Linked DNA regions of Oryctolagus cuniculus. The protein of the gene in region 1 interacts with the protein of each later gene in a biochemical or structural test. Links are inferred from orthologs where the notes say so. Each region holds a gene or a part of one and is shown on either strand. Other genes may lie near its edges.

The links.
Region 2: the proteins of SLX4 (region 1) and EME1 form a complex in vitro, tested with the Homo sapiens proteins (3 studies listed by BioGRID, with this or other methods). The link is inferred for Oryctolagus cuniculus from reciprocal best matches to the Homo sapiens genes SLX4 and EME1.

Annotation. Positions count from the first base shown.
Region 1 is NC_091450.1:31,901,438-31,905,243, forward strand, and holds part of SLX4 (structure-specific endonuclease subunit SLX4), read left to right. Parts: intron 1-696; coding exon 697-893; intron 894-992; coding exon 993-1,309; intron 1,310-1,804; coding exon 1,805-2,027; intron 2,028-2,196; coding exon 2,197-2,220; intron 2,221-2,417; coding exon 2,418-2,503; intron 2,504-3,367; coding exon 3,368-3,514; intron 3,515-3,806. UniProt on the Homo sapiens protein: Regulatory subunit that interacts with and increases the activity of different structure-specific endonucleases.
Region 2 is NC_091448.1:26,293,877-26,297,782, reverse strand, and holds the start of EME1 (crossover junction endonuclease EME1), read right to left. Parts: upstream 2,647-3,906; 5' UTR 2,542-2,646; intron 2,418-2,541; exon of another isoform or gene 2,294-2,417; intron 1,871-2,293; exon of another isoform or gene 1,847-1,870; intron 1,020-1,846; exon of another isoform or gene 908-1,019; intron 805-907; 5' UTR 779-804; coding exon 40-778; intron 1-39. Other genes in the region: MRPL27 (large ribosomal subunit protein bL27m), read left to right, coding at 2,647-2,686. UniProt on the Homo sapiens protein: Non-catalytic subunit of the structure-specific, heterodimeric DNA endonuclease MUS81-EME1 which is involved in the maintenance of genome stability. In the complex, EME1 is required for DNA cleavage, participating in DNA recognition and bending.

The DNA.
Region 1 (3,806 bases):
TCATCATACCGGCTTCCCGGGGCTCACTCAGACCCCGAGAGCAGTGTCTGAGAATCTCAAGCCGTCTGTGCTCTGGCAGCCAGCATGAGCTTCCATGTGAGCTGGAGGCCCAGGACAGCTGCGGGGAGGGGCGGGGCGGGGCTTGGCTCGGCTCACCTCGCCCCTGCCCGGCTCCTTCCCCTGCCCGGGATGCCACCCCCGTGCTCCCCCAGGCTGCACGCGGCACCCGCCTGCCTTCAGGCCTCACACAGAACAGCTGCGCTGGGTTCCTGTGCTGCATTTAGCACAAGCACACTCGAACGGTAGGACTTGCGCTAAATTCAGGACTGGCCCTGGGCACCTGAGGCATGAATGGGCAGAAGGTGATGGCAGGTCCCGCGAGCCAGCTTGGAGCCAGGAAGTGTTGACTCCACCAGGTCTGGCCACCCCTGGGGTGTGCAGTACCTGTGCCGGGAACCTGCTGGGCAGTACCACATGGAAAGACCCTGTCCTGTCTGGACTGGCTGAACCCTCGGCCTGCGTCAGAGAGCTCACAGACGGCAGAATCAGCTCACTGAAGGCCAAGGCAGTGGATGCCTCTGTCTGAAGGGTCCCCGTTCATCCCTTTTCTCTCACCCCCACAAAGGAGAGCAGCCCCCGGCCTCACAAATGTGGGCACCCGTGGCCGTGACTAACTTCCCTTGGGCTGTCTTTTAGCTTTAGCAGCCCCACTGGAGGTGTGAAACGGAAAGGAACCTTGAACAAGAAGGAGCCCCAGAAGAGAAGGAAGGCCGGCCCGCCCGAGGCACCGTCCGAGGACCTGCTGGTGGCCATGGCTCTGTCCCGCTCCGAGATGGAGCAGGGCCCTGCCACGCCTGCGCTCAGACTGCGGAGTGCTTTCTCCGCGAGGAGAGGTGGGTGTGGCCGGGAGCAGGTGGGTGTGGCCGGAGCTGTGGCTTACGCAGCTTGTTGCTGAGTCCACGGCTGACCGCGTCGCTTCCGTGTGTCTCTAGAGAAGAAAGGTCGCAAGAGGAAGCCCCCGGTGTCGCCCCCGCAGTTGCTCGTCCAGGACCGCGTGACCACAGGCAGGCAGATAGAGGACCGCGTGGCCCTGCTGCTGTCAGAGGAGGCGCCGCTGTCCCGCACGCCGCCGCTTCCCGCCAGCAGGATTCTGAAGGAAAAGCTGAGAAAGGCAGGCTGGTGCCTGCAGCCGCCGGAAGGGAAGCAGAACTTCCTGTGGGAGGGCAGCGCCCTGACCGGAGCCTGGGCCGTGGACGCCTTCTACACGGCCAGCCTCGTCCCTCCCATCGTGCCCCAGCGGCCTGCCGAGGTGAGCCCTGCTCCTCCAGACACGCGCGCACGGGCTCTGCGGACAGAGCTGCAGCTCCGACACCAGCGCCGGGCCACAGACAGCATGAGCGGTGGGGGGCAGGGCTCGGCTGAGGCGCTCTCTGTGGCAGCCACACGGCTCTGCGGGTGAGGACAGGGCAGAGCCTCGGCTTCCCCGAGAGTGTTTAGGACACCGAGTCCCAGGCCCTACTCCCGTGGGGCTGGTGTCATCACAGCAGGCGCCCAGGAACCACATTCTGCATACATGTTCCAGACAGTCGCGCGGGTGGCTCTGAGTCAGTTCTCGCCTTCCTGGGGTCCCCTGGCTGTCCACAGGCACGGATGGGCCACTCAGAGCAGCCTGTCGCTACTCAGTGACGGACACTTCCGGTCCCGCTCTGCAGTCTGGGTCTGGCCGTGCGCATGTGTAGAGGCTGCTGCGTGCCAGTGTCTGACAGCAGCCACGTGCTTACCCTGGCTTGCGCGCTTCTTGCAGGGCCTGACCCAGGAGCCTCCACGACCTACGAGGCCTCCTGAGCAGCCAGAGTCAGGTCTGGAGGGGCCACCTGCTCTCCCCAGCAGCCCCGGGGACCTGTCGTCATCGGCCAGCCAGAGGGAGCACCAGGCCCTGCAGGACCTCGTGGACCTGGCACGGGAGGGGCTGAGTGCCAGCCCGAGGCCCAGCAGTGAGGACCTGGCCAGCTCCGATGGGGCCACAGGTGAGACACTGGGTGGGCCGCAGGAGGGAAGGGGGCGCCTTCGTGTAAGCCCCGAGGCTCGGCGGCGTGTCCCCTGCTGCAGGAGCACGTGCAGCGCCCAGCAGCTTTTGCTTTGCTCGGAGGTGACTGTGGCACACACAAGTCTGTCACGATTTTCCTTCAACTTTAGGCCAAGACGGAGCTGGCTGCCCAGGTGAGTGATCCTTGTAACCTCCGGCGAGGGGCGGTGGTAGCAATGGCGGCGGCAGGGGCTTGCTTTAAATGGCCATGTCCTCAGCCAGCTCCTCCCAAGGCATCTTGGGTCCAGCCTGGCCTGTGGTGGGTGCCGCCGGCTGGATGCCGACATTGTCAGGGTGACGTGACGTTATCTCAACCTCCACCCCCTCTCAGGGCTGGATGTGGTGCCCCGCGGCCTCCCGCCGACCGGCTTTGTCCTGCCTAAGGAGAAGCACCTGGAGCGGGGCGACCACGCTTCGGTAAGGACTGGGGGTCTCCCACGTGAGCCCCTCCCTGGCGCTGTGACCGCTGTGGGGAGCTCCACTCCCTGCTGTCCCCAGGGCCTCCCCACTTCCACTGGCGTCACGGAGCAGCTCTGCTTCCCAGCAGGCGGACTCGGCAGCCCCCCCCGCCCGGCTGCCCCCGGGCCCTGCTGTGAAGGCTTGTTTGTTGCTTGTCTCGGAACACGGCGGGCGCCCGCAGTGGCTGAACCCCCAAGCCTGCGTAGTCGTGGGAGTCCGGGGGCCGCTCTTCTCTGTGCGGGGCCCTCGTTCCGCTGTGTGCTCTGCGTGCTCCTGCCGTAGCAACTTACGGCAACCCTCCCGTGTGGCCCCGGGGCCGCGCTCGGCTCCTACCACGGTCCCTCGTCCTGTGTTGGTGACCAGTGGGGTAGCACTTGGGTTTTCCCGAGAGTAGACAGCATCCCCAGAGGATCCCGGCCTCAGCCACACTGCCACACCAGGGCCAGGGCGATGGCATCGACGTGCACAGTGGACAGTGGGCCCTGAAGTGCTGGAACGCGGGGCCTGGGTCCAGCACACCAAGCTGCTCTGAGCACTGGGCCTACAGCACGCGTAGCTCACCCCGCGCTCCAGAACCACGGATGCCGCCTGCTCGTCCTTGTCAGGGCTGTGCTGCCTCTCCCCACCGGCCGGTCCCTGCCTGGGCATCTGAGACCCGGGCTGGTGTCCTCACTGCCCGACTGCAAGTGCCTGTGGTGATACAAAGCAGAGCCCGGCACAGCCCATCCCCTTCCTGAGCAGGGGCGCCCCGCGCTGCTCGGTCAGCAGAGTGGCAGTAGCGCGAGACGGTGACAGTGCTGACAGCTGTGCCTCTCACTTCAGCTCTCCATCGGGCTGCTGGTTGCCGACTTCAGCGCCATGGTCAACAACCCGCACCTGAGCGACGTCCAGTTCCAGGTGGACAGCGGCGAGGTGCTCTATGCCCACAAGTTTGTGCTTTACGCCCGATGTCCACTTCTCATTCAGCATGTGAGTACCGGCCATCAGGCAGCTCCCCCGCTCCTGCCCCTTCCGCCCTGCACGGGAGCGTCTTTGCTCTGTTGCTGTCAGGGTCCCGTCTGGGGAGGACAGAGAGGCACGTCAGGCTAGCTGCCGCGTGAGGAGTGGCCTCAGCGCGGCCGACATGCTCTGTGCTGCAGAATCAAGGCCAAGGCGCTCTGTCCCCAGAACGGTTTCCTCTTTTTTCAATTTGCATAATTGCAGAGTTCCAAACTGACCTTTTTTTCTTACCTGTTTTTAATTTTTAAATTTAGGAAGGCAG
Region 2 (3,906 bases), on another chromosome or scaffold:
CATCCCCCGGCTCCAGGCGAAGCCGGCCGCCCGCAGGACCTGGATCTAGCACCACGACGATGTGCTTCAAGCACTCCTCTGGCCTTGGCGCCTTCAGCCTGCCAGCTGGCGCTTCCTTCTTCCGTCTCTGCTGTCTCGGGGGGCTTTCCTTCCGGCTCGCTTGCCCCTGCTGCCGCCATCCCCGCACCTTCTGACCACGCGTGGCTGTCTTCTGAGGTGGGGGGATGTCAAGATTTGCTTTGGTCACTGTCAAGCTGTCGCTCTCGAGGGGACACGAGGAGCGGTAGGCTGCAGGCTGACGGCAAGGGCTGTCCAAGATAGGGTCCCTGCCACTCGGTGCGTTCCTCCCTGAGGATCCGTGGAGGACAGCAGGGATGTTGGGGATCCGGTCACAGGATGCTCCTTCATTACTCTCATGATCCAAGACGCTTCTAATTGCAGAGCTTGAGTCTTCAGGGCTCAGCTGCTTGTGGGTCAAAAACTTACATGTGAGTCTCTCGGCCAAGGGGATGAACTCCTCTTCGTCCTCACTTCCACTGCTCAGTACCGGGACTGGCTCTGCGTGTGGGAGCGCCTCCTCTGTGTCTGGGTCAGGGGATGGACCTATTGGCTCTGGTGATGGTGGACAGGAGCCCTCGGAATCTGAGCTGACAACCACTATGACCTTCTCCTGCCTCTTCTTGGTTGAAAATGATTCCTTCTTCAGAAAGGCGAACGTGGGTAACTCTTCGGATTCACTCCCACTGGATTCTAGTGACAGTGGTGACTTTAGAGCCATCAACACGTGCTATTTGAATGAATTCCCTATAAGGGAAAAGAGAGGTGACAGAGACTGTAGCATCCAATTCTGTACACTAGATACAGCCAAGCTTTTTGAAATATGAGCAGAGAAAGAGGACATCCCTACCGTATCCTGTCTGGAACCCCGAACAGCAACATCTGTGGTCTAACAGGAGCCTTCCTCAAATCTTTTCTGTCTAGGCGAGGTTTAAATAAAGTAGGGGGGCCGGCACTGCAGTATAGCAGATAGGGCCACCACCTGCAGTGCTGGCATCCCATTGGGTGCTGCTTCAAGTCCTGGCTGTTCCAATTCCAACTCAGCTCTCTGCTGTGGCCTAGGAAAGCAGTAGAAGTGGCCCAAGTCCTTGGGCCCCTATACCTGTGTGGGAGACCCAGAAGCTCCTGGCTTCAGATCAGCCTAGCTCTCTGGTTGTGCTGCCATCTGGGAAGTGGACCAGCGGATAGAGGACCTCTCTCTCTCTCTCTCTCTCTGCCTCTCTGTAACTCTGCCTTTCAAATAAATAAATAAATCTTAAAAAGCAGGGATAATATTATAATTTTCACTGGATAGTAACAACACTCATCACCACCCTCTAGACCTCTCCATTTGAAATGGTGCTGTGGCCTAGCAGTTTAAGCTGCTGTCTGCAGTGTCAGCATCCCATGTGGGTGCTGGTTGGAGTCCCAGCTGCTCCACTTCCGATCCAGCTCTCTCCTATGGCCTGGGAAAGCAGCAGAGGATGGCCCAAGTCCTGCATGGGAGACCCAGAAGAAGCTCCAGGCTCCTGGCTTCAGATCAACCTGTCTCCGGCTTTTGCAGCCATTTAGGGAGTGAACCAACAGATGGAAGACTTCTCTCTGCTTCTGCCTCTCTGTGACTGTACTTCTCAAATAAATAAATCTTTCAAAAAAATTCATCTTTTTAAGTGTACAGCCCAACAGTTTTAATATATTTAGTGTTGTGCAACTACCACTGCTAATGCCAGAACATTTCTATGACTTCAGAAGTCATTAAGCTATCATCGTCCATCCTCCTCCCCCCAGCCCCTGGCAACCACAGATTTACCATGGCTCTATGGGTCTGCCCATGCTGGATACTGCATATCCAGAGGAATCACACACTATGTGGCTCTTTCCCTTTTATGTTTGGGAGTTTCATCTGTGTCGCAGTATGGGCCAGTACTTTATTGCTTTTCATGGCTGAATATTCCAACGTGTGGCTCTACCACATTTTGCTTATGCATCACTTAAGGGGCGTTTGGTTTGTTTCTATTTTTGGTCACTATGAATAACGCGGTTATGAACATCGAGGTACAAGTTTTTATGTGGGCATATTTTCAATTCTCTTGCATATAAACTGAGGACTGGACTAGCTGGGTCATATGCAAGCCTCCTTTCTCGAACAAAAACTTACTGACCCTGGGTGAGCCAGCTAATCCTCGGCCTGTTTCTCCCTTGGTACAACAGGGATAGCAATACCGCCTTTGTAAGGCCGTGAGAATTAACGCATTACCGCGCTTAGGACGGTGTCTGGCACTTTAAAGACAAGGGAGGGGGTCTCATCCGTGTCCCGCAGCGGGATCTCGGTTGACTCCTGCAAAATGAGCCACTCGGAGAAGCAGACCCCTGCCCGGCACGCTCCGCGCCTCCCAGGTCAGCCGTCAGGGCGGAGGACCCCGACGCCCTGGCCACCAAGCTCCCGCGCAGCGGCGCTCTGGAAGACAGCCTTGGCCGGTGAAGTCCGACACCCCGGACGCTCACCTGTACCTCCTCGCGCCACTCATTCAACCGCCGCACCGGACCCGGAAGTAGATCTCCCGGTAGCGGAAGCAGCCTTTCGAGACCGGAAGCGATTGTAAGGCAAACATGGCGTCGGCGGCGCTGGCCCTGAGGACGCGGGCGGCCGGTAATGGGACAATGTAGTCGTTGCGGAGAGATCTGGCAGGGGACCCGGGAGGTGGCAGCCAGCCCCCGCGGAGGTCCCTGGGTGCGGGATTGGGGAGTTCTGTGGCACGCCCGGTTGGAGTGGCGGCGGTGGCCGGTCACGTGCCGTATCTTGGGCGGAGCCGCGGGCTTGGGGAGTATCTGGGGAGCATTCGGCCCTCCCCTGCGTGTGGATTTCTCGCTTCTCTGGCTGTTGGTGACGTGGGCACGCCGCATTGCCTCGCTGGGCTTGCGTGGATCCCTTCATGTGTAAGAAGGAGCAGTAATATTGACACGTTGGACTTCAGAACGTTCATCTGTTCATTCAACATGTTGAGATCTAATTTGGTGCCGGACACCGGTGGGTGTTCGAAGTACCAGCGGAAAACGTGAAGACATGGTCTCCACCCTCCCGATGGCCCTTTCTAGTTTTCATTTTTTATTTATCTAGCCGGTAAATAAGCATACATATATATGACAGTTGTAAATTGTGATCGGTGCTAAGAACGTGTTTGTGTGTGTGTGTGTGTGTTTTACATTGGTCAGGAAGGCCCTAGCAGCTGATAACACCTAAAGACCTAAAAGGCCGAGACCTGTAGGAACCAGAGAATGACTTGATCCAGCTTTACATATTTGTTAAGGATTTATTTTTACTTATTTTGAAAGAGTTAACAGAGAGCAAGATCTTCCATCCACTGGTTCACTCCACACATGGCCACAATGGCCAGGGCTGAGCCAGGCTGAAGCCAGGAGCCTGGGTGACAGGGGCCCAAATACCTGGACCATCCTTCACTGCTTTCCTAGGCCATGAGCAGGGAGCTGGATCAGAAGTGGAGCGGCCGGATGGCACCCATATAGGATGCAGGCATTGCAGATGGCAGCTTTACCCACTTGGACACAACACTGGCCCCCAGTTTCACATTCTGAGAAACTATTGTGTTTATGTAACTAAGGGAGTTTTGGTAGAAATGAGGTAACCAGATGGGAAGCTGTCATATGTTGAGAGATGGTTTAGCCAAGATGGTGGTGGCCCTGAACTTGGAGGAAATGAGTGGACTTGAGATCCAGAGCTGCCGGTGCACTGGATATGTGGAGGAAGCCTGCAGGGACTCCTTGGTCTCTGAGCAGCTGGGTAGATTGTGGAGTGATTTATGTTGAGGAAGAGGATGGGAAGTACGGGTTAAGAGCGAAGATTTGTGAATG